Ovis aries: one gene and its partners. The protein of the gene in region 3 interacts with the protein of the main gene of each other region in a pairwise test. Links are inferred from orthologs where the notes say so. Each region holds a gene or a part of one and is shown on either strand. Other genes may lie near its edges.

Region 1 (7,536 bases), on a different chromosome or scaffold from region 3:
TCAGTTGCTCTGCAGCACGTGGTATCTTCCCAGACCAGGGATCGAACCCATGTCTCCTGCACTGGCAGTCAGATTCTTAGCCACTGGACCACCAGGGAAGTCCCACACGGTCATTTTCAAAAGACCACTGTAGCTGCAGAGAGGGCCGTGGGTGAATGCAGGCAGACAATTTTGGAGGCTGTTGGGGAAATCAAGGAAAGAGATGATGCCAGCTTGGATTGGCATGGTGGCAGGAAGAATACAGAGGAGCAGAGAAAAGTATGGAAATTTCAGGTGGAAGACGAAAGGAACTAAGCCCTTTCTATGTGTTCTCATTGTACCTTACACTTCTCTCATCATTGCCTTTATTACGTCTTACTGAAATTACCTTTTTACTCCTCTGTGTTTCCCTCTAGACTTGGGGTGCCCAACATCACTCGTCATATGTGGAATCTGAGCAGTGCAATGTGAGATGTGCTCTAAGTGTAAAACACACACTGAATTAGAAAACAATTCAGAATAAAGAATGCAAATATTAATAATTTCTATATTGCTACATATTAAAATGATATCTATATAGTTGGTGGACATAAAATACATTATTAAAATTAATGTGATTGGTTTCTTTTTAATGTCTTTATGTGGCTACCAGAAAATTTTAAATTATTTATATGGCTCACATTATGCTCCTACTAAACAGCACTATGAGAGAATATAAGAACTGAGGTATCTCCAAGGCCTACCACTTATTTAAATAAGCATTCAATGAGTAAATATATTTGGCCAGGTCACATTCAAATTCTGACTGCAGGTATGTATTAATGATGAAGGCTTTCAGTGTTGGATCATATTGTTAACAATCTTGGCTTCACTGTTGGCTGAAAAAGAATGTGTTTTCTAAATCAGTTAGACCCAACATTGCCCAGAATTTGGCTAAAAACTTTAGAATACTTCTGCGACCCATCTGCTTGTCTGAGATATTTGTCTACTAAAGAACACAGTTCACCTGTGGCTCAGTCCCTCTGGAGACCGTGGCGCAGGCATGGTTCCGTAACCGAGTACCACCTTAAAGCAGGCACTCTAAAGGCAATGACTAAAACATGAAACAGAATACCTACACATCGCCATCTGTGAATCTCTTCTGAAGCTGTGACTTGATTTTCACTCAGTGGTTGAGCACCTTGCCAAATCTGAGCTGCTACGGAGCTCGGGTACTTGAGCCAAAGGAAACGAGCACAGTGTCCAGCTGACTCTGTGGTCACAGCCAATTCAAGCGGAACACTCACATGTCTTTTGAACACATCAGCACTACTCTTGTTTTATTCCCCTGCAGCTTTACATGCGCTGTGCTTAGCTGTCAAGTCACATCAATCAGAAAGAACAATTTTATGAGCCAGTAGGGGTCTGGCATGTTGTATCTCTCAGAATCCTTTTAATTAATTCACTAAAGTCTTTAAGGAAACAGCTTGGTAAATCTCTTCAGCAAGTTTCCACTGCTTTGCAGTCTGACAGCATTAAAATAAACTAGAGCTCCATGTTCTGTTTTAACCTTTTCCAAACATGCTTACTACTGAATATAGCTAAGGGCAGAAACACAAAAGAAAATTCAGCCTTAATTCCTCCATGGAATCATGTGACTTGCAGAGCTCCCAGCCTACACTCTCCCAGTGAATGATGTAATGGAAGCTGGGGCCCACTAATCGCTTTTGACATGAATAACTTGAATAACTTGTAGAAACCTTTCTTCCCCCTGATTTGTGTCAAGTGAGCTTAGCTTTTCCACATTTAAGAAAACTTCTCAAGCTCCATACTAACAAGAGGCGAGGGCCTACTAGTCAAGTAGGCACCCATTTTTTTCCCCCTAAAATTTTAAGTTTAAGTAATCCACATTCCAAGGTCAAGAGAGCCTGCATCTGGTGAAAGGGCTTTAGGGCAGACACCTCCATGCTAAGCTTCATTGATGACGTCATTGCACTACTGGATCCCCATCCTGGTGTTTTCCCTACGTATATAGTAAGGAACATGCCATGTTCATTCATTCAACCAGTATTTACTGTTTGCCATGAGCAAAGCACTTTGGAGCATATCTAGATAAATAATAAATAGTTATCAGTTAATGAGTCCCTATTATATCCTAGGTATCTTAAAATCTACACAACACTGCAATGAGATTAACTCCATTTCATTGCAAAATAAAACAAGGTCTCTAATTTGAGTCTACATTTCACAAAGATTTCTGGTGTATAGCGTGGTATAGACGTGTGTGTGTGTGTTCTGGTGTATAGCATGGTATAGATGTGTGAGTGTGAGTGTGTGTGTGTATGTGTGTGTGCATTCAGTCGCATCTGACTCTTTTTGACCTCATGGACTGTAGTCTTCCAGGCTCCTTTGCGCATGTAATTCTCCAGGCATGAATACTGGAGTGGGTTGCCATTTCCTTCTCCAGGGATCTTCCCGACCTAAGTATCAAACCTGCAACTCTTGCATCTCCTGGACTGGCAGGCGGATTCTTTACCACTGTGCCACCTGGGAAGCCCGATATAGACTATATGTATACATAAATGCTGTTTCTGATGAAATTGACAGGTATATCAGATCATTTAATGCTTAATACCCAACAGTATTCTGAACTAAACACTCCTCAAATGTTTGTTGACATACCAACCAGGAAAGAGAGAGACTGTCTTCCATCCACACTAAAAACAGCATGGCAAAAGATACTTAGAAATGCATGCAGCAATTAAGCAAAATTTCCTCAATCTGAATGAGAAGCTAGGTAAATTACCTACCCATCGAGATTTTTCAAAAATAACTTTAATTAAACCTGGGCTGAGTTATGATCTAAGCACTTTTAGAAAGGCCATGTATTAGAATGGAGTAAAACAAAACCTCAAAGTCATAACCCATGGAAATGTTCATTACTTACCAGGGTGATGTTTTGGGGAGTCGGCCTCCACTGGCAAAATTACTATCACACCGAAATCTTATTCTAAGTATCTGGTGAGGGTAAATGAGAGCCTTGCAGCCTGATCTTTCCAAATGTAATTTACATCTAAATTAATTTGAGAGAGAAAAGAAAGAAAAACTCTATGTTTAAAAGTCGCCTTTTAATTTTTCCTCCAGGTCACCTCTTCTGCACTCTTAATATGGCTCCCTTCACGGAGTCGGAGGCCAAAAGACCATCATGACAAAAAGAAATTATCAAAAAAAAGACGAGTCTTGACAACCCAAGCCACTCACTGGGTTCGGGAGGCCAAGGCCCCATCCTTAACTCCCCGGCCGCCAGCGCCCCCTCGCGGGCAGAGACCGCTCAACCGAGGAGAGCCGGCAGCCACTGCCCTTTGGGAGAGTTCAGGGCTACGTCTCCCCTGCGCCCCGCCTCGCTACCCCCGCCCCGTCCCGCCCCCGCCGCTGGCGCCTCCGCACCCGTCTGCAGCCCAGCCCCCGGCGTTCGCCGCTCCCGCTGCTCCTGCTGGCGCTTTCCGCACACCCACCCACACGTCAAACGCCCTCTTTTCCCCTGAAAAGTTTCTAGACGGTAGGGACTATTTTCTTCTAATGTAACCTTCCACCAAACTGGAGGGAAAAGTTACCCGAGGCCTGGGAGGGGTCGGGGCTCTGGGGGCGGGGGATGGGACCTGGCTTTTAGAAAAGAGGTCTCTTTTCAGTGAAAATAAATGATTGGGCCTCCAAGCCAGAGCTTTGTTTGCTGGGTTAACTGTAAAAGGTGCTTGATGATGCTAAATATTTAAGATAAGAGTTTTTCTTAAATTAACAAAATATATTGTACCAGATGAATGGTTCTTGTCTTCAGACCTTGCAGTTCCTTCTGTTGATTCTCATCTGAATCCCTTCTTCCCCCAGGCTCCTAAATCCTTACCTTCAGCTATAGAGAAAACAAGATCCCCTGGGAATGACTTATTAAATATCCTAGAGACCAAAGTCAAACCTAGAAACTGCTGTCCTGGGAAGTTGGCTGAATTCTATCCATATTCGGGATGGGTAAACTCACCTGCAGAAATATGTAGTGATTAGAAAAACCCAGTAGGCCTGTATTTTTTAAGATTATAAGTGGCAAAAATCAGTTTGGCAAGGAATTTTAGAGAGGAAGGGAGGGAGAAAGAAAGGGGAAGGAAGGAAGGAGCCCGAGTAAAAGAGTAGAAAAACATTATGTACTAAGAGTCAGTATTCTTTCATGAAACCAGTATCATGTTTGCATGTACCAGATCAAGAAGTAGAATATATTTCTTGCTGTGTGTTGTCAAAAAAATGTCTGCAAAACCACTGCAATAGACAATGGAATTATGTTAAGAGACCTAGAAGGGTTTGAAAAGTCATCTACTTCATTCCGCTCTACTTAGGCAGTGTTTCATTTAAAGAGTGTGTGTGTTAATTGCTTGGTCCTATCCAACTCTTTGAGACCCCGTGGACTGTAGCCTGCCAGGCTCCTCTGTCCATGGACTTCTCCAGGCAAGAATATTGGAGTGGGTTGCCATTCCCCTTTCCAGGGAATTTTCAAGGGATGGTACCTGGGTCTCTTGCATTGCAGGCAGATTCTTTACTGTCTGAGCCACCAAGGATGTCCCCATTTAAAGAATAGGCCAGACTTAGTTATTCTTCTTGCTTATCTTCCCATCTTAATATATACTATTAATGGCTTGTGAACAATTTGTGTCTTGAAAGCTATTATTTCAGTAAAGAAAGCTGTAGCTTAAAATATGAAGGGAATTCTGCCAAGCTCCTCTTTTCTCTATGGCTCTTCTATTACCGTGTGACCCCGGGGCCCTGGACACATTCCACGTCTGGAAGCGCTGTCGGAAGTGCAGACCTGAAAGCCTGGGTTACTAGAACATCATGTGGTCAAGTATTCCTGTGGGTCTATTTTTTAATATATGTTTACTTTAAAATAAACATTTTTCTTTTCCCTAATTGTTTATTAAAATATTTTTATTGGTCTATATAAATCATATGAGAGCCTGAAGTGCTTGAATTTGACTTTGTCCCTTCTCAGTGGGGGAAGCTTGCTTTTGTGCTAATCAGGACTATGGTCTCTGACTGAAATTTCTGTTTTTGCCCCCATTACACACGCTTACTTCATTCCTGCCATTTTCATTAGTTCAACATTTGGATCAAAAGGCTCACATGTATGTGTGGGTAAAGGTGCTGATGGCAGGGAAACACTTCCATCATCAGTAGTGGGCCACTGGCCCAGTAATAACAATAAAATAATAATGATGATTATCATTAACACCTATTTCTCAACACTTTTCTGTGCTAAGCAAATTACGTGCATCGGGTCAGTGAATTCTCCTAATAACCCTATCTCATAATTGAAGAAACTGAGCTTAGACGAGGGTAAGTAATGTGCTGGTTTGTGATTGGCAGGACTCTTTACCTGGTCTCTCCTTTCATTTTTTTTTTTTTTTTTTTTCACTAACTGAATACGGAATCTGAGTGTTTTCCTCCAAAGACCTCTTGCCTAAAAGGCAATTGTGATACCAGTGAGATAGATTATGTAAGTCATGCCTTGTTAACTGGCATCTGAAGTGCACCACAGATTTTATTTCCCAGGCAGGAAGGGGTCATTGCAAACGTGGATGTAGGAAGGGGAGCCCCTGGGTAAATTGTATACAAAGCTGTACACAGATGTGTTTTGGGAGAGAAGAAAAGCAAACACTGTGAACTTACTTAACTGGTTTTATTTCCTGTACATGTTCGTCATGGGTCAGGGTTGCTATTCAGCTAGCTGTTCATGTTTGAGTACCAATCCTGCCAGTAAATCTTGGTGTTTGACCTTTAAGGGTCATGAGAGTCGTTGGAGCTCTTTGAGGGAGAGCAACAGGGGATGGGGAGAATTTTTGTGCAATTAGAAAAGTAATCTTTTGAAGAATAACATGCTTTCCTTTTTCCCTTTCTGAGAAAATGACTTGATCCTCAGTTGGCCCTTGACATTCATCTGCCTAGGGGAAATAAGGATTTGTTACAGAGGAATGAGGGGGAAATAACTGAGATATTTGGCTTCTGACAGTCAACATGGGATTTTATAGCAAGACAAGAACTTTATAAGCCCAGGTTAGTGGCTTGAAAGAGGATTTCCTAAATTCCCTTTGAAAAAGAGAATTCCTGTGCCTCCCTGAAGAGCCCCACTTGGGGAACTTAATTCAGGAAGTTCTCCCAGAGGGTATGACTGCCAGGCCCGATGCCTGCTGCTCAGTGGCAGAAGGACGCTATGTTTTTGGTCCTGGGGAATGATGGGAAGATGGGAACAAGAAATAAGCACAAGGGGGAAACTGCCAGATTTGTGTCCCAATTTCTCCCCTCCAGGCTTCTGCGTAGAGATGACCCAGGTGCATCATAGAATCGGAGGGAATGGCAGGGACTGGTCCTACTTGGGCCCTCGTCAGGAGGCCCGGGAGGCTCTGTTCCGCTCTGTGACACCGTGCAGAAGTGTGCTCAGGCAGGAGGCCTGGAGATTCAGCTTTCCTGAGAAAGCCACAGTGACTGACTCTCTGGCTGGTGGCTGGAGGGGTGAACTTTCAGGGCAAGGTGACCCCGGAGTGAACACTGCAGAGGGAACCACCTGCTTCGGCTACCCTGGGCCAGGGCGCCATGGGCCTCATGGACCCACAGTCAGAGAGCTGAGAAGAGGTTGAGGGAGGGCCACAGGGCCTGAGCACCCTGAGGAAGGCCCCCTCGCAGATCATAGCTGTATGGTCTCCAAGCACAAATTTCAGCTGCAAACACCAACAGGGCAAGGAGCGGCCAGGTGGAGAGGGGACATGGCCCCCAAAGGCAGAGGAGTCAAAGGACACTGCACTTGAGGGGTCTCTGGGTTCTCTCCTTTGTCATATGGTTGATAAGCCCTGCTGGTACACTTGGATAAATGCTGGGAAAGAGGGTGAAGGTATGAGAATGCTGAGAAAATGTGAGATTGCTGAGAAATGTTATTTTCATCCAGAGAAAAAGTGTTACCTAAAGGAGTTATTTATTTGATGAGACTTAACTTTCTTTTTTTGCTTTTCTTTTAATTATTTTAATAATTGTGAAATATTTAAGAAATAAGAAGTCATGTAAAGAACTTATGTATCTACTACTACTCAGTACAAAAGACAGGAACATTTCCAATACAGTTGAAACTTCCAGTATACCATGCCACAGATGTCACTTTTATTAGGTTGAACAAGATGAAATTGCCCATATTTGACTGTTTTTTACCTACCCAAAAACCCCAATAATTTTATATGATTTAACCTGATATTTAACCTTTGTAAGTTTGATCAGTACCTTGATCATTCTGTTGCCCACTTAGAATGTTTTTCTTCCTTTCCTTCACTTATCTACATGCTACCTGTGCTTTAAGACAAGATCTGAGCCCTAATTCTTTCAAGTTTTCACTGAAGACTTGAGCCTGCATAGAGCTTTCCTCCCCACCAATCCAGAATGTACTGTCTGTCTCCGGCAGCATTACCTTATTTTTTAAGAATTGTTTATTTAGGCTGTTCCGGGTCTTAGCTGCAGCATGTAGAATCTTTAGTTGCAGCATACAGGATCTAGTCC
Region 2 (7,701 bases), about 130 Mb from region 3:
ATTGTTTAAAAAGGGGACAACAACAACAACAACAACAACCCCAACCTCTTGTCTTGGGCTAAAATCAATTCCCAAATATCCAAAACTCCTGCCCATCTGACTGACCCATGAGCTCCAGAATCAACCAGCTATTAAGTTTCTTGGGAAGCAAGTTCCAGCGCTAAGCTGGCCTCTGAGCTGAGTCCTTACCTCAGCAAGCGGTTCCCTCTCCTGGGCTCCCTCTAGCGTGTGTTCCCTCACACACTCACGCGTGAGCTGTGTGCTCCAAACGGTCTCAGCAGCGCTGCTGATGTGAGCGGCCGGGAGCTCTCACAGCCAGAGCTGGAACAGTGTCCTGATGGAAGCCGCTCCCAACGCCTCCACTGCTACTGGGGAGTAGATTTCAGCTCAGACACAACGAAGTGTTTCCGAACCACCTTCTTCAGAGCTGGAAGAACCTTAGAGGTCACTGAATCACTCCAACTTTCAGGGTATCTGTAAAACAGAAAAACTTGTAATTGAGCTCTTCTTAAGGATTTTTTAATTAAACATTTCATTTCGAGATAACTTGTAAGAAATAATAAAGAGACGTCGCATCTATGTTTCACCCCAGATCCCAAGCAGGGCGCCGTGTGGGTTGGAGGAGAGCCCTCGCTGGCCCCTGCAGTCGCCCCGAGGCCCTGACTGCGAGCGGCCCCGGCAGTGCTGGGCGCATCTCTGCTCACGTCGCCTGTCACTTCAGGCAAGTTGCACGGATGGAACCACACAGTCTGGCCTCTGTGCGTCTGCGCTCACTTGGCACACTCCCCTGAGACACACACGCGTCGCTGTGAGTGCCCAGTGCCCGACCCTTTCGCAGAGTGGGCTCCTGTGGTGGACGCAGGCGCTGCTTGGCCAGCACCCCCGAGGGGCACCTAGGCTGCTTCCAGCTCTGGGCCACCAGGGGGCAGAGCTACAGTACCACAGGGGCAGGCACAGCAATGGTACCTCTTTCATCTTTATTTTTGGGGGCCGTGCCTCAGGGTATGTGGGATTTTAGTTCCCCGAACAGGGACTGAACCTGTGCTCGCTGCATTGGACATGTGGAGTCTTAACCGCTGGACTGCCAGGGAAGTCCCTTTTCTCATTCTTTTATTGTGAAAATAGAAAAACACAAGATTAGTGGGCACAGAGGACAGCCAGAGGGTAATTCATGGGACCTGGGGGAGCAGGTGCCCAGAGGAGGTGGAAGGGGCAGGGAATACAGGAGACCCAAAGGATATGTGTCCCAGAGGCCAGGCGCCGAGGGGGGAGGGGTCACGAGGAGGCCGCCAGACACCCCGGCAGGAGTTTGGGTGGCACCCCGGCAGGATCAAGAATAAGAAGCATTATGGAAAGATGGTCAAAGAGCTGCGCCGAGGGAGCGCCTGACCCAGCAACGCCTCTCCTGGGCGTGCACCCAAGAGCACAAGGCTGCAGAAACACCCGCACACAAGCGCGACTCACAGGTGCCAGGCGCCCCCGCGGGGGTCCGTTTGATCAACAAAATGGGTCCATCCACACAGCGGAAGTGACTCAGCCTGAAAAGGAACGAAGCCCTGACCCTCCTGCGACGTGTGCAGACCTCAAGCACGATGCTGAGGGGAAGATGCCAGATAGAAACCTACACGCTTTGTGACTCTGTTCATACGAATGGTCCAGAAGAGGTGAACCCAGACACTGGACGGCGGGTCGCCGGGGGCAGGGATGATGGGGGCGGGGCGGGGGGCTGCAGCGGGGCATGCGTGGGGCGACGGTGGCCCAGCTCTGTGAATCTGACAAAAGCATGGAATTGCACATTCAACAGCGAGCTTTCTGATTTGTGAAGCGCATCTCAGTACCTAAAAGCGCCCGGCAAGGGAGATGGAGACGCTGGGTCCTGCCGACTCTCAAAAGGAGTCTGGCTGTAAAGGAGCAAGGAGACGCGGGGGCTGAGGGCGGGGGCCTTCTGTTCAGGTGGGAAGAAACACAGGACGTCTGCATAGAGGGGAAATGACACCTGGGGGGGCACCCCAGGGAGACATCCTGGGGACAGGGCAGTGCTCCGAGGGAGGAGGCAGATCTGGGGCGCAGGCGCCGGGGACCCCTTCCAGCTGGGAGGCAGGATGGGTGGAGGTGAGGCCAAGGAGGGAAGGGAAGGCACTGGGCCCAGGGAGGGGCCAGGGAGGGCGAGCCATCAGGGCAGGAGCCACGTGACCCACTTGAGGCTCGCGGCCACTGTGGACAGAGACAGGCCAGCGGGGCCAGGCTTCTCCTGCCCAGACAGAGGGACCAGGGGCTGGACAAGAGTTTGGGGGGCACTCCTTGGAAGAAAAGTTATGACCAACCTAGACAGCATATTACTTTGGCAACAGAGACATTACTTTGCCAACAAAGGTCCGTCTAGTCAAAGCTATGGTTCTTCCAGTGGTCACGTATGGATGTGAGAGTTGGACTATAAAGGTGAGCACTGAAGAATTGATGCTTTTGAATTGTGGTGTTGGAGAAGACTCTTGAGAGTCCCTTGGCCGGCAAGGAGAGCAAACCAGTTAATCCTAAAGGAAATCAGTCCTGAATATTCATTGAAAGGACTGATGCTGAAGCTGAAACTCCAATACTTTGGCCACCTGACGTGAAGAACTGACTCATTGGAAAAGACCCTGGTTCTGGGAAAGATTGAGGGCAGGAGGAGAAGGGGATGACAGAGGAAAAGATGGTCGGATGGCATCACCGACTTGATGGACATGAGTTTGAGCAAGCTCCGGGAGTTGGTGATGGACAGGGAGGCCTGGCGTGCTGCAGTCCATGGGGTTGCAGAGAGTCAGACACGACTGAGCAACTGAAGTGAACTGAACTGGTGGGTGGGGGTTTGTGGGTAGAGGGCACGAGCTGTAAGGATGGGTGTGGGTAGGGGGCTGCAGGAAAAACGAGGCCCAAGTGGGCAGGTGGGAGGGCGCAGCTGAGCTCAGAAATCCTCAGGGCTGCGAGGTTCCTGAGGACCCGTAGCAGGGCTGTGGGAGGCCGGGGGCCAGGAGGTCTGGTCTGAGGAAGGGAGCGTCCACACGGGAATTCGGGGAGGAGAGGAGTACGTGAGAGGTGGGGGCTCTGCCCACCTCCAGGCCAGCAGTTTGGGAACCTCAGCGCCCCACTGGTGAGAGAGCAGCCTCCTCGGGGTTGCACGGCCCAGGAGGCCTTCCCAGTTGACAAGAATCGTCTCACAGCCAGGCTGGCTTGTCCTCAGCAACTGTTGTCCTCAGGGAAGGAAGCAGAGTCACAGCCCCAACTGAGCAGGGAGGGTGCCCAGATCGGAGGCAGGTGGCTCTCTGCCAGCCGCCCAGGACACACACCTCCCCAGACCCTGGAGGATGCTCGGGCATAAGGGCAGAGCCTGTGTCCGGGAGAGTTTCCAGGCTTCCTGCATTGACGGTAACATTTCTGCGTCAGCTTCGAAAGGCCGCGGTGCCCAGGTGTTTGGTCAGAGTCACATGTTGCAGTGAAAGCATCTTTCAGATGAGATCAACATTTAAAACAGTGGACAAAGCGATAGAAAGCAGACCCCCCGTGGCATGGGTGGACCTCATCCCGTCAGCTGAAGGCCGAAAGAGCCAAGACAGGTCCCCCGAGGAGGAGGGCCGCTGCGGCTCCCCCAGCCCGCGGGCGCCTCAGGCAGATGCAGCCCCCGCAGCTGCAGGGGCGCGTCCTCCTCGCCGGCCGCCCTCTGCGAAGGCCCTGGGGCACCGCGGGGCTGAGAGTGGGCCGCGCGGGACGCAGAGGGCGCCGCCGGGACAGAGCCCCAGCGCCGCAGGGCGGCCCGCGTCAGCCCAGGGCGGGCGCACGGCCCTGGAGGCTCCCGCTCTCGCGGCGGGGAGGAAGGGGCTTCCGGGGTTCACGGCGCGGCACCGACGCGGGCCGGGCTCGAGCGTCTCGGGCCGCGCCCGGCGGGCTGAGGGCCTGACAGACGCCCCCCCAGGGTCGTCGGCCCGGGGCCGCGGCCAACGTCCGCGCCGCGCCCCCAGCCGCCCCTCCGGCGCCGACCCGGGGCCCACGGGAGACCCGCCGCCGGGCCCTCCCAGCGGCGCCCGCCTCCAGCGCCGGCCCGCGAGGCCCCCGGCACCGCTTCACGGCCCGGCCGCGGGGCCCCTTACCTGACACGGCAGGGGCCGCCCGGAACCTTGGCGCGGCCGCGGCAGCGGCGCCAGAGGCGGGCCCGGATGGTTTTCCCCAGCGCACCGAAGCCGACTCCGAGCCGGCAGCGGCGGCGGGAGAGCGCCGGCGCGGGAGCTCGGGGCGGAAGTCCAGAGGGGCGGGGCCGACTCGGGGCGGGGCGGGGCCTCCGGTGGGGGCGTGGTCAGGCGGGGCGGGGCTTGCGGGGCGGGGCTTGCGGGCCTTCCCGGCGCACCTGAGGCACCTGGCGCTCCGCGCTCCGCCCCGCCCGCACCTGGTACCTGGCGCCGGAGGTGCCCTCGCCCCTTCTGTCCGCCTCGAAGGGCTCCCTCGGCCCGCGCTGGTCTCCGGATTCCGGGGCCCCGGCCCCGCGGTCCTCTCCCCCAGCACCCCTGCGGCAAGACCGTCACGGCCGCCCCCTGCGCCTCCCGCGATCCGGCCGGGAAGCGCCGACTTCCGCGTGGGCCAGACGAGGTCCATTCCGCCATGGCCTCGCTCGGGGACCTGCTGCGCGACTGGCACCAGGGCGCGCAGGCTGTGGCGCGCGGGGACTGGGACTGCGCCCTGCGCCTCTTCTCGAGCGTCTCGGAGCCGCCCGCCAGGGTGAGCTTCAACGTGGGCTGCGTGCACCTGCTGGCCGGAGACCCGGAGGCCGCGCTGCGGGTGAGCCAGGGGGACCCCAGGCTTTGTCGCAGAGGCCTCACCTCAGGGGATGCAGCTCTCTGCTCCTGGTGGCGGGGGCTGGAGGGGTGGGGTGGCAATGCGTGGTGCGATAGCTGCAGGGGCGAGCCCAAGGCCCCCACCCTTCTTCCCTGATGGCCACCCGGAGACTCCCCCCACCCCAGCGTTCTGCTGCAGCGAACACCTAAGCAGGTGGGACCTGTGTGTGTCCGGGGGGACCCTGTGGAGCTGCGTCAGGGCCAGGATGGGGTCGCAAGGCTCCAGCACAGCCTCCACTTGTGGGGGCCGTTTGCCCTGCTCTGCGGTCCTGTGGAAAGGCCAAGTGAGCCCTGGCTCAGGTGCTCTTGATGGAGGTGCTAAGGTGCCTACAGAGGCTCGAGGCTGGATGGGGCCGGAGGGTTGCCACGGGTGCCCGTGGCGATGGCCAGGAGACAGACTCTGGTTGGGGGCCTAAACCCCAGATCCGTGTGCTCACCTGTCCCCCACCCACTCCCCAAAGCAGAACCAAGAGCCAGATGTATGCACGGGCACACACACACACCTGCCTCTGCTGAGGGCCTGGCAGGGCCATCCCTGCCCTTCAAGCCTCCAGGTTCATCACAGTGGTGCACATCCCATGGGTGATGACAAAAAGCAGTAGCACCCTGCTCACTGCTTGGGTCCCCAAGGGCCCCCAGAAAGAGCCAGGTTCCCGCGTTGTCCAGGCCAACGGCGACGTCAACCGAAAACACGTCCAAGGGGCATGCCCTGTTGTTCCTCACATATGTGTTCGAATCTACAGTTATCTCAGCAGCAATGTCAGTGTTAAAATGTTATCCAGCAATGGGGATGTCACCCCTGGACACCACGGGGTCAGTGGAATGATGCCAGTCCAGTCACTACCTCCCCTAAACCTCGATTTAATCAGAAAGAGGGGACAGAGGTTCCAGGCCAAGGGTGTGCACGTTAAATTCTCCTCCACCCTAATCGGAGATGGAGTAGCAGAGGCATGTTTGTTGGAAAAATTTAAAAAGCAAATGGAACGGCTACAATCAATAAAGCTGACTTGGACAGGGTGAGGGGAGCTGGGGCTCCGTCTCTGGCAGGAGCCCCCCAAAAGCTCCTATCTGGCCACTCTATGTGGCAGGATAAAAGGGTTTCCCTTGTGCTGAGCGGCCACATCAGTGCCCGAGTGCTGACCCTCAGCCTCGGTCAGACTCAGCTCGACAAGCCCGCGCTCGGCCAGGTTTGTTAGAGCGGGGCCGTGACACCCTCCAGTTGCCTGTGTTTAACTTGGTGGCTGCTGGGTGCACTCCTTTTGCTTGCGTCTGCCTGATGGCTGCTGTCCTTAGGAACAGACGGCATCATTTCTGAGTTCAGTTTCAGGAAGAGCTGGGCTTCACACGCACATTAAGGCTTTCGTGCTGTTCTTCCTTCTGACTCTAATAGATGAAACGTGTGTCTTTTTGTGTGAACCACCAAAGCTAGGGCTTGAAGGAGACAACAGTCTTAACATAACTCCCTCCGTGGAGGTAACTATTATCAACGTGCTGGAGCGTTTCCTCCTCCTCGTGGTTAACAAGCTGGTCTGTGCCGCCATCTAACTACCCCCGAGCAGCCATCAGAAAACACCTGGGGAGCCCAGGCAGGTTTGCGTTGAAGCCGTGACGCCTGCGCCCCTTGGACCCAGAGGCCCCTGGGCAGGCGAGGGAGGCTTTCTCTTACAGGTGACGGTCATGTGGCCGACGGGCTTCCTTGACCCACTGCTGGGCATCCCCATCTGTGACACGGTGGTGACGGGGCTACAGGCCTGAGCAGTTCACAGACATTTCTGTCCGCAGGCATTTGACCGGGCGGTGACTAAGGACGCCTGCTTGGCTGTTGGCTTCCTCCAGCGCGGAGTGGCCAACTTCCAGCTGGAGAGGTGAACACAGACGTGCCCTCTTCCTTCTCTGACGGCCCTTCGTCTCTGCAGAGTCCTGCCTGTGCTCCTCTCTGCCCACGGTCACCTCCTCTGGCCAGCTCTCCCCGGGCTCACGTGGGGGCGTGTCTCTCTGTCCCCACGCCGGGCTGCACAGTGACCCTGGGCTCTGTTTGGAAGAGGGTCACAGACCGCTTCTGCTGGCTCCCCTCCTCCGTTCCTACCCCCTGGACTGCAGGGACGGCATGATTCTGCCCATTCTGCCTTCGGGAAACCCAGGGCAAGGCTGGAGGAATGGTGCATCCCAGGACTGGGCGGGGTTGGCGGGGGGTCCTCTGCCCACGCGGCTCTCTGTGCCAGGCCCTTCCCAGAGAAGGAATCAGAGCTGCAGGGCAGGCCCGGCGCCCACAGAAGGCGCTACACAGGGTGGGCGGGCTCTGGGGTCACCTCCTTCTCATCAGCCCGGAAGCCTGCCCCGGGGCAATGAGGATCCTGGTTGGGGTTGGGGCATCCAGCCGGGGTCGGGGTGGGGAGGCCTGTGGGACGGAGACCCCGGAAGCAGGCAGGGCACTCTGCACCCCGAGGTTCAGGAGAGGGCCTGCGGTGCAGGTGGAGGAGCCCACATGCTGCACAGCCCGTCTGTGTGGACCCCGTGTGCTGAGGCCTGCCGACCGCCGCTGCCCCCGTGCTGCAGGAGGGGCTGGGGCGGGGGCCGGGTCCGGGCCAAGGTGGAGCCCTTGCCCTGGGGCCGCCCAGGGCCCCCACACCAGGCTCCCCTACTGCCCACAGGTTCCAGGAGGCCCTGTCCGACTTCCAGCGCACCCTGGCCCAGCTGAGGGATAACACCGCTATTGACTACACCCAGCTGGGCCTGCGGTTCAAGCTGCAAGCCTGGGAGGTGAGTGTGCGGGGAGCGGGCCACCAGGAGGCCGTGTGGCTGGGCCCTGGGGGCTGTCTGTGGGCGGGCAGCCCGGGGGGTC
Region 3 (7,571 bases):
GACCCTGGGAGATGAGTTGTCTAGCCTCCATCCTGGCAAGGGCCAGTATGTCCCTGATCCATTCTGTGTACACACAGAGGGAACCAGGAACAACCTGTGACTTTTCCCACCAGTGCCCTTTCTATCTCATTTCATCCATCTCAAAATGAGGCATATTTAAAAGGTACAGTGTTTTGGTAGAAATCATTAACTCTCCATGCATTGTTTACTTTGGAATTAAACTAAACCTCCTTCAAGGTCTTAACTATATGGTCTTCATTTTTCAAGCTCAAGTCCACCCAAGGTAAGACCCAAGAGTTGAGAAATTCATCTTAGCAACTTATATTCCAGTTTTCAGCATTTCTCCAAACAGAATTTTGGAAAAACCGAAGATCACCCTCAACTTACAGCTTAACAGTTGTCAAACTTAAGGGCTGGAGGAGACTCCTCCAAATGAGGAGACTCAGTTGTTCCCTTATTTCTAAGTTTATGTTCTGAATTCCTCTGGCCTAATAGGCTTTTAAGAATCTGAAAGCACTTAGGAAATAAAATGAAAAAAAGCTAACATCTAGAATGGAACTCATGAAAATGGTCAAATCTTAGCCTTGTACTCCTGCATTTATTTCAAAGACTTCATTAAAAGAAAAAAACAAAACAAAACAATGACAGCAACACTTATCTGAATTCTAGGTGGGATATAAAAAACGTTATATACAGAAGAGATCTAAAAACAAGTTGAGTAAAGAATCCTTGAAGTGAGGTGTAATGCAACTTCATCACTTTATTCAAATCTTCAAAATAGTCTTTATTCTACATTTTTAGTATAAAAAATCCACAAGTTAAGTGCACCACAGTGTAGAGAGAGACATACAACGCTGAACTTCCATAACAGTCAATGGTACAGTCAAACATCACATGTACAGAACACAAATTTAGATGAACTGAAATTATAAGATAAAATAAAATAAAATCCAATTTTAGAAAACAAAAATCAAAATATTAAGGATCCCTGAAATATTCTTAACCCTAATGAGATTTCACTGGACTCAAGTCATTTAGTAGTGAGGCATTCACAATATGACCCCATTAACCCAGCTGAGGAATTCTTGGGAGCCATAAGTGGCTACATCAGACACTGACAAGAAATGGTAACCAATTTCTGATCTGCAAACTCCCCTTAATTTGGCTCCAGAGTCATCAGGCTTTTAAATGCATCCTCTTCCTTGCCCCTCAAAATTATAAAGACTGCTGTTTACGGTAGTTTGCACTGATATCCTTTGTTAAAACAAGGTTCAGTTTTTCTGGCACCAGAACAAATTTGGGCTTGGTTCATGTCTGAAGAGAAAACCTATGAGGAGGGTCCAAAAGGCACCCTCCGCTTTTGCCTGAGGAGATGCAAAAGCAGAAGCAATGGGTCCTGTGCTTGGGGCACAGAGGGGGTTTCAGAGGATCCTTTGTGAAAGACTAGTTAAAAGATGACAAGTGGGGGGAAGTGCAAGGAGAGAAGGAAATTAGTCTGACTGGCTTTCTGTCCTGCACCATTGATTCAATGGAGATTGGTGGGAAGGAGTGGAAGACAAGGGTTGAGGGTAGGACCAGGGGCAAAGGACGGAAAGAAAAAGGCAGACAACTAATGCGGTTCGTTTATAACAAGTAATATAAATCAAAGACTTAAAGGAGATTAAAGACCAATCAGAATAATTTGGCAACTTTAATTCTTAGGAAGATCAAAGTTCCCTCCAAACCTAATTTGATGTTTTATTACTAAAAGCAAAGACCAGTATGGTACAGTATTACTCCAGAGGAATTAAAGGAAGATCCTTAGGGCTGCTTCACCCACATTCATTTTATGAATGGATACCTCCCCTACCTCAAAATGCTTTAGGGAGGTACTGCTACCATTACATGGTTCCTTATTAAGTTTGAAAAGTGCCTGAAAGTTTGGGCACCAGAAAGACACCCCAACAACATGTGTCTAAACTGCAACTTCAGGTTAATATGACTAAAGCAGTTACATTGTGAGAAGTGCTGAAGGTATGTGATGTCTTTCCCGGCATAGAGATGGCCTTGGTTCTTCACCAGATGGTGTAGCCACCATCTGAGCCACCCATGAAGAAGTTTCCCTTCCGCTGAGTTACGAGGACATTGGCTCCCTGCATGACTGCCAGCTGAGCAGCATTGGGAGGGCATCCAGGGGGAGGAGGCTGAAAGGAAAAGACAAGGTTGATTGGGCAGAGGGCAGCTATGGGAGGGAAGTGGACAAAGGTGAAAAAGGACCAATCAGGAAGATGGCAGTGTGCTAACCAGCGGCATCTCAAAGAGCTATCTGGGCCACCAATCTGAGTCCAGCAGGTCTACATTCTTTGTAAGGCCAAAGATATAAACAGGAAACCCACTCATTTAAAGGGTTCTGGATCCAAAATAAAGCCTATGGATACCTTCTAAGTGTGGGAAGTCCAGACTTGGCATTTTCAGTGCAGAAAATCACTCCTATTCACATCCCAAAACGGAGCGGGTACCAGGTCCAGGGACTTATATCACAGGGCCTGACAGTTTTCAAATGGCCCTGGATAATCTGAAGGCTCTACCTGATGACAGCATTTTCACTTCATCCCTAGCCTATGGTTATTGAGTAGATGGTCCTAGCAAGGACCATATGGGCTCTAATTCCCATACATAGGGGAACTAATCAAGAGACATTGCTAAAATCCCTAGTATCTCTCTAAATGCAATTTAATAGGGATTATGCATTGTTTTTTTAATCGTCATGGTTCCTAATACGATGCCATGCTGATGGCACATATAAATAAATGCTTATGGAATGAATGAGGAGTGTTACTAAACTAGTATCAAAGTGAACTGGAAAAGCAGCAGGCAGGACTCCTAAGACAGGAAAACAAAGGAATCTGATAAATTCTAACATCAGTGAGTACGCCAGATGTTACTGACTGGCCACGGTTCTCCTGCCCCTTTGAGTGCTTTCTGCCTGACTACTGGACGTCAGTGATTATTACACCAATACCAGCAACTATTACCCAGGGATGATGAAAGGATGACCAGTCATTTCAGAAAGTTAAAATACACAAGGGTCGAGCTTTTTTGTGACCAAGTCATACTCACAGGAATGTTTCCGGCAGTAGCGCCAGCTCCAAATCTGGCCCCTGTATCATACCCTCCTTCCACCAGCACTGTTGAACCAGGTGGATAGATGGGACCAACTGGATAATAAGCCATGGGGATTGTGGAACCTAAAGGTCCAACAGCCACAGACTGGGCCATGGGAAGATACAGTGAGGCGCCAGGAAATGCAGCTGACATGGTGGGGACGGTGGCAGCCCCCGGGTGCACAAAGCTCGGACGATAGAGCTAGAAGAGGCAGAAGAGAAGGCAATAAGTTACTTCATGACATTCCTATTTCAGATCTCAATTTAATGAGTCAAGTCTTAATTCTCCTTGTGCAGATTACACTCTTTGAGTTACACAAGTTGCCTTTCCACTGCCACTCAATATTCTCCTGGATCACTTCCTGCTATAGCTAATGTTAGGCTCAGGGAATGCAAACTCATCTTCTTAACTTCAGCCAGTGCCAAATAACATAAAACAATCAGATAATGCCTTCTCAAACCCAAAAGAAATGGCTGAACTATGTCACGTTTTAAGATGATTCATGTGAGCACTCTCTTCTGTTTGTGGAAAGTAAATAAATGTGTGGAGCCAGACTTGGCCAAGGACCGAAAACATGATCCAAGAGTATTCCATTATTAAGTTAACTGGAAGCACCTCTGAGTAGGCAGGTGGAGCATCAGTATAGGGTGGAGCCTGAGGAAGATGCAAGGTCTGAGGGTACACAGGGTTCCCAGGAGGCTGCACAGGGTAAGTTGGCTGCGTTGGATATTGACCTGGAAGACAAGGGGGGAAAAAAAGCATGTTGTCTACCATACAGTCACCAAAACAAAGCAGGGCATATTGGGTAGCTAATCTAGCTGGGATAAGCAAAAAGAGATTTCCAAACAGACTGCCCTAGAGGGCCTGATTCCTGGAGCCAAGAAAATAAGCATTCTCGTTGCACCCTTAAAGCTGAAGAAGCTGGATTCCAACTGGACATCCAGTAGCCGACTGCTGTAAGGGGAAAGTCTAGCTGGGCCCAAGATCCTCTCAGAACGCAGGGCAGTTCTGGGCATCCCCTCTAGCCGGTATTTCAACGGTGTGTCCTGTCTCCCTGTCCTGCGTGGTCTCCAAAGGTCTGGTTGTAACTGACCAAGACCTCGTGAGTAACGGTGGTTGTGGTCATCGACCTCACAGGTTCCTACTCAAGGTCGACTTCCAAATGAAAAGAGTGAGTGGTGGAAGTGAATGCTGAGATCGTGGAGGGGGCTGAAGGGAATGTTCTGACACAGAAACCGGGAGACTTTCTGGCCGCCAGCGAGGGTAAGGGGGAAGAGACCCCCTTCGGGCCCGACTGGCCCGCCCACCAGAGCGGCACTTTACTAGTTAAGCCCGGAGGCCTGCCTGTGGTTCCGGAGCGCGGCGCCCCGCCTCTGCCAGTTCTCCATTGGCCTACCCAAATCTCGCCTCCAGCTCCCCATTTGCTCCTACAGATGCCCATCACGACAAACCTTCTCCCCACCCCCCCAACCCACCCACCCAACAGCCCCCCCCCAACCCGAGTCCGCAGCTCCAAACTGCGCCACAGAGTTTAAGGGAGAAAGGGCCGTGAGGGAGCGAACGGCCGTAGTTCGGGAATGACGAAGGTGTCTGGCGCAGCCCCGGGCACTGCAGCTGGCTCAGGAGCGCGGCGCACCTCGCCCCAGGCCTGGCGTTCGGTGACCCTGGGCTCCGGGCCCGCTCGTTCCGGGCCAGCACTAGTCCCCCCGGCGGCCTCAGCCACCCCCTATCCTTGCCTTTGCTGTTCATGGTGGCTGCGGGTCCGGCTCGGCTCGGCGTCGCGGACGGTTATTTTTTTCGTCCTCTTCCTGTTCGTAGTCACTTCCGTGTCACGTGACGATCTGTCCGCCTAGCGTCACCCGACGCCCGAGTGCCGCTGCCACCGGAAACCCCGCCCCTTCGCCCGGCCGCCGGTTGCAGGAGGGAGGGCCCGCGTGATCCCGTCCGCTCGCGTAGGCCCCGCCCACCGGGTCTGGTCCTCCAACCCCTACCCTTGTCCCTCGGCTGAAGGAAAACCAAATACAGGTATTGTCTCAAAACGGGATCTTCTCTCTCTTGAACGCTCGGAGGCAGTAACATTAAACTATTCTCTGGAACCTTTTTCCACCTACGTTCAGCACCTCAAGGTCACCTCACCTTGACAGCCTTTCTACAAGGGGCATGCATGCTTGCTAAGTCTCATCGGTCGAGTCCGACTCTGTGCGACTCTGTCCATGAGATTCTCCAGGCAAGAATACTGGAGTGGGTTGCCATTTCCCATGGACCGAACCGGAAACTAACACACACACACACACACACACGGGACATAGATTCCTACACACACACACACACACACACACACACACACACACGGGACATAGATTTCTACAATCTTACCTAACTGCCTGAGATGCTTCGCAACCCTTGATCTATCTCTCGTTCCCCTCACTCAAGTCTTCACTGCCTTTCTATTCTACCGATAGGCTGTCGGTGTTTTATTTCTGTGTCGCTTTCTCACCGACAGAAAGGGTATGCTGTGCTGTGCCCCGCCCCACCCCGCTGCAACAGCTAGCACTAAAACGCATGTTCTTGGTACCCAAGGAGTACCCATGCCCTGGCCCTTACTTTGATACCTGTCACAGACACCTGTATGGTACCTGATAGGTATTTTCTCTGTGTATCCCTTCTCTTCTAACTTAATCGTTCTTAAGAGCAAAGATGCCATCCTTTAAGGCAACAATTGCTTCCATTCTTTAAGATATTTGCTGAACGCTTGCTGTGTTCAGGTACAGAGATGGAGCTGAACAAGACAGCCCAAGGCTATTTTCTCATGGTTTACATTCTGTAGTGTAGGAAGAACATTAGAAAAGCATCTGAAAAGAAAGCTTTGAAAAGAAAAACCCTCGGTAAACATTAGCAACCTGATCCATATTTGCTGTTGAATGACTTAAACCACTGAAAAGACCAGTACTCACTTCATCAGCAGTCCGCTGTTTTTCTCTCCAGTGTCAAATTACAGTTTGCAGGACACCATTAATATGCATGATTTTATGGAGTCATCACAGATCTTCACAACAGCCCTGTGTGGCAGGCAGGGCTTGTTTAAGCATTTCTGTTTTTCAAATGAGAGATTTGCCCTAAGTCACACAGTGAACAGGTTACAAAGTCAGGTGTGTTATCTTGGTCCCCACCCCCACCCCGGTTCCCAAATCAGTGGTTTGGTTTTGTTTTGTTCTTATCCCTTTACTCTGCCTATCACAACTGCTGCTGCTGCTGCTGCTAAGTCGCTTCAGTCGTGTCCGACTCTGTGCGACCCCATAGACGGCAGCCCACCAGGCTCCCCCGTCCCTGGGATTCTCCAGGCAAGAACACTGGAGTGAGTTGCCATTTCCTTCTCCACTGCATGAAAGTGAAAAGTGAAAGTGAGGTCGCTCAGTCGTGTCCGACTCTTAGCGACCCCATGGACTGCAGCCCACCAGGCTCCTCGGTCCATGGGATTTTCCAGGCAAGAGTACTGGAGTGGGGTGCCATTGCCTTCTCCAGCCTATCACAACTAAAATGCCCTAAAAGCACAATATCCAAGACTGTATTTGGAGTTCTTTTAGGTTTTTTCCCTTTCTTTAAATTCATATTATTTATTTGGTTCAGGCTGGTATTATTAGTATGATAAAGCCTCTGATATTTACCTTTTCTTGTATTTCTGACTAATCTTCTTGAAGGCAGGCACAGTGTTAGATATTCACTCATTCAACAGTTCTTTGGAGAACACTGAAAAATGCCAAGCACTGTTCTAAAAGAAAACAAAGCTCTTGCTCTCCTGAATTCACCTTCTGGTAAAGGGGCTTGCAAAGTTTTTTGAGCAAAATTCACAGTAATTTAAAGTAATAAACTTTAAATCATGACCCAGTACACACACATAAATAAATATGTGGAATTATATGTAACTGGAAATTTTATGACCTGATATCTATCCTTCTGTATACAATGCACTCTCATATTTTCTAATCTCTCTTATTTCCTTTTTTCAATTCTGGTTGTGATTTCACATCCTACTAACAAGTCAGGACTCACACTTTGAAAAACACTGTTTTGGGGTTTGTTTGTTTAAGTGGACTTTTAGGGTCTTGCATTTTTCTTAGCATGAAATTTGCAGTCACTAATTGGTAAATTTGAAAGAATAAGTCCTTGGAGGTCAGATCAGTCAATCTTCTCCCTTGTAACCTAACTTTTACAACTTAGATCCTAAACCACCCGAAAGCCTGAAACTGGAGAGGTCACTAATCTATACCCATCCTACCCTGTGCCCAGGGCCTCAGACAATACAGCAATGAACCTAAGAAAGGAACTGCCCTTATTTGGACCCCCAGTTAGGAACCCTGAAATTGTGTTGACTATAGCAAACCATGTCGGGCTTCCCTGGGGGCTCAGAGGGCAAAGCGTCTGCCTGC

What was found. The genes of interacting proteins can lie anywhere in the genome.
Region 1: the proteins of DAZAP2 (region 3) and POGZ interact in binary tests that used the Homo sapiens proteins (3 or more experiments, as listed by UniProt). The two-hybrid records come from large-scale screens. The link is inferred for Ovis aries from reciprocal best matches to the Homo sapiens genes DAZAP2 and POGZ.
Region 2: the proteins of DAZAP2 (region 3) and EXD3 interact in binary tests that used the Homo sapiens proteins (3 or more experiments, as listed by UniProt). The two-hybrid records come from large-scale screens. The link is inferred for Ovis aries from reciprocal best matches to the Homo sapiens genes DAZAP2 and EXD3.

The regions. Positions count from the first base shown.
Region 1 is NC_056054.1:101,396,184-101,403,719, reverse strand, and holds the start of POGZ (pogo transposable element with ZNF domain), read left to right. Parts: upstream 1-3,386; 5' UTR 3,387-3,517; exon of another isoform or gene 3,518-3,541; intron 3,542-7,536. UniProt on the Homo sapiens protein: Plays a role in mitotic cell cycle progression and is involved in kinetochore assembly and mitotic sister chromatid cohesion.
Region 2 is NC_056056.1:555,621-563,321, reverse strand, and holds the start of EXD3 (exonuclease mut-7 homolog), read right to left. Parts: upstream 4,151-7,701; 5' UTR 4,122-4,150; intron 3,126-4,121; exon of another isoform or gene 3,090-3,125; intron 475-3,089; 5' UTR 249-474; exon of another isoform or gene 190-248; intron 1-189. Other genes in the region: NOXA1 (NADPH oxidase activator 1), read left to right, coding at 4,627-4,803, 6,642-6,724, 7,511-7,619. UniProt on the Homo sapiens protein: Possesses 3'-5' exoribonuclease activity. Required for 3'-end trimming of AGO1-bound miRNAs.
Region 3 is NC_056056.1:134,987,059-134,994,629, forward strand, and holds DAZAP2 (DAZ-associated protein 2), read right to left. Parts: upstream 4,976-7,571; 5' UTR 4,894-4,975; coding exon 4,881-4,893; intron 3,879-4,880; coding exon 3,760-3,878; intron 3,346-3,759; coding exon 3,100-3,345; intron 2,184-3,099; coding exon 2,055-2,183; 3' UTR 736-2,054; downstream 1-735. UniProt on the Homo sapiens protein: In unstressed cells, promotes SIAH1-mediated polyubiquitination and degradation of the serine/threonine-protein kinase HIPK2, probably by acting as a loading factor that potentiates complex formation between HIPK2 and ubiquitin ligase SIAH1.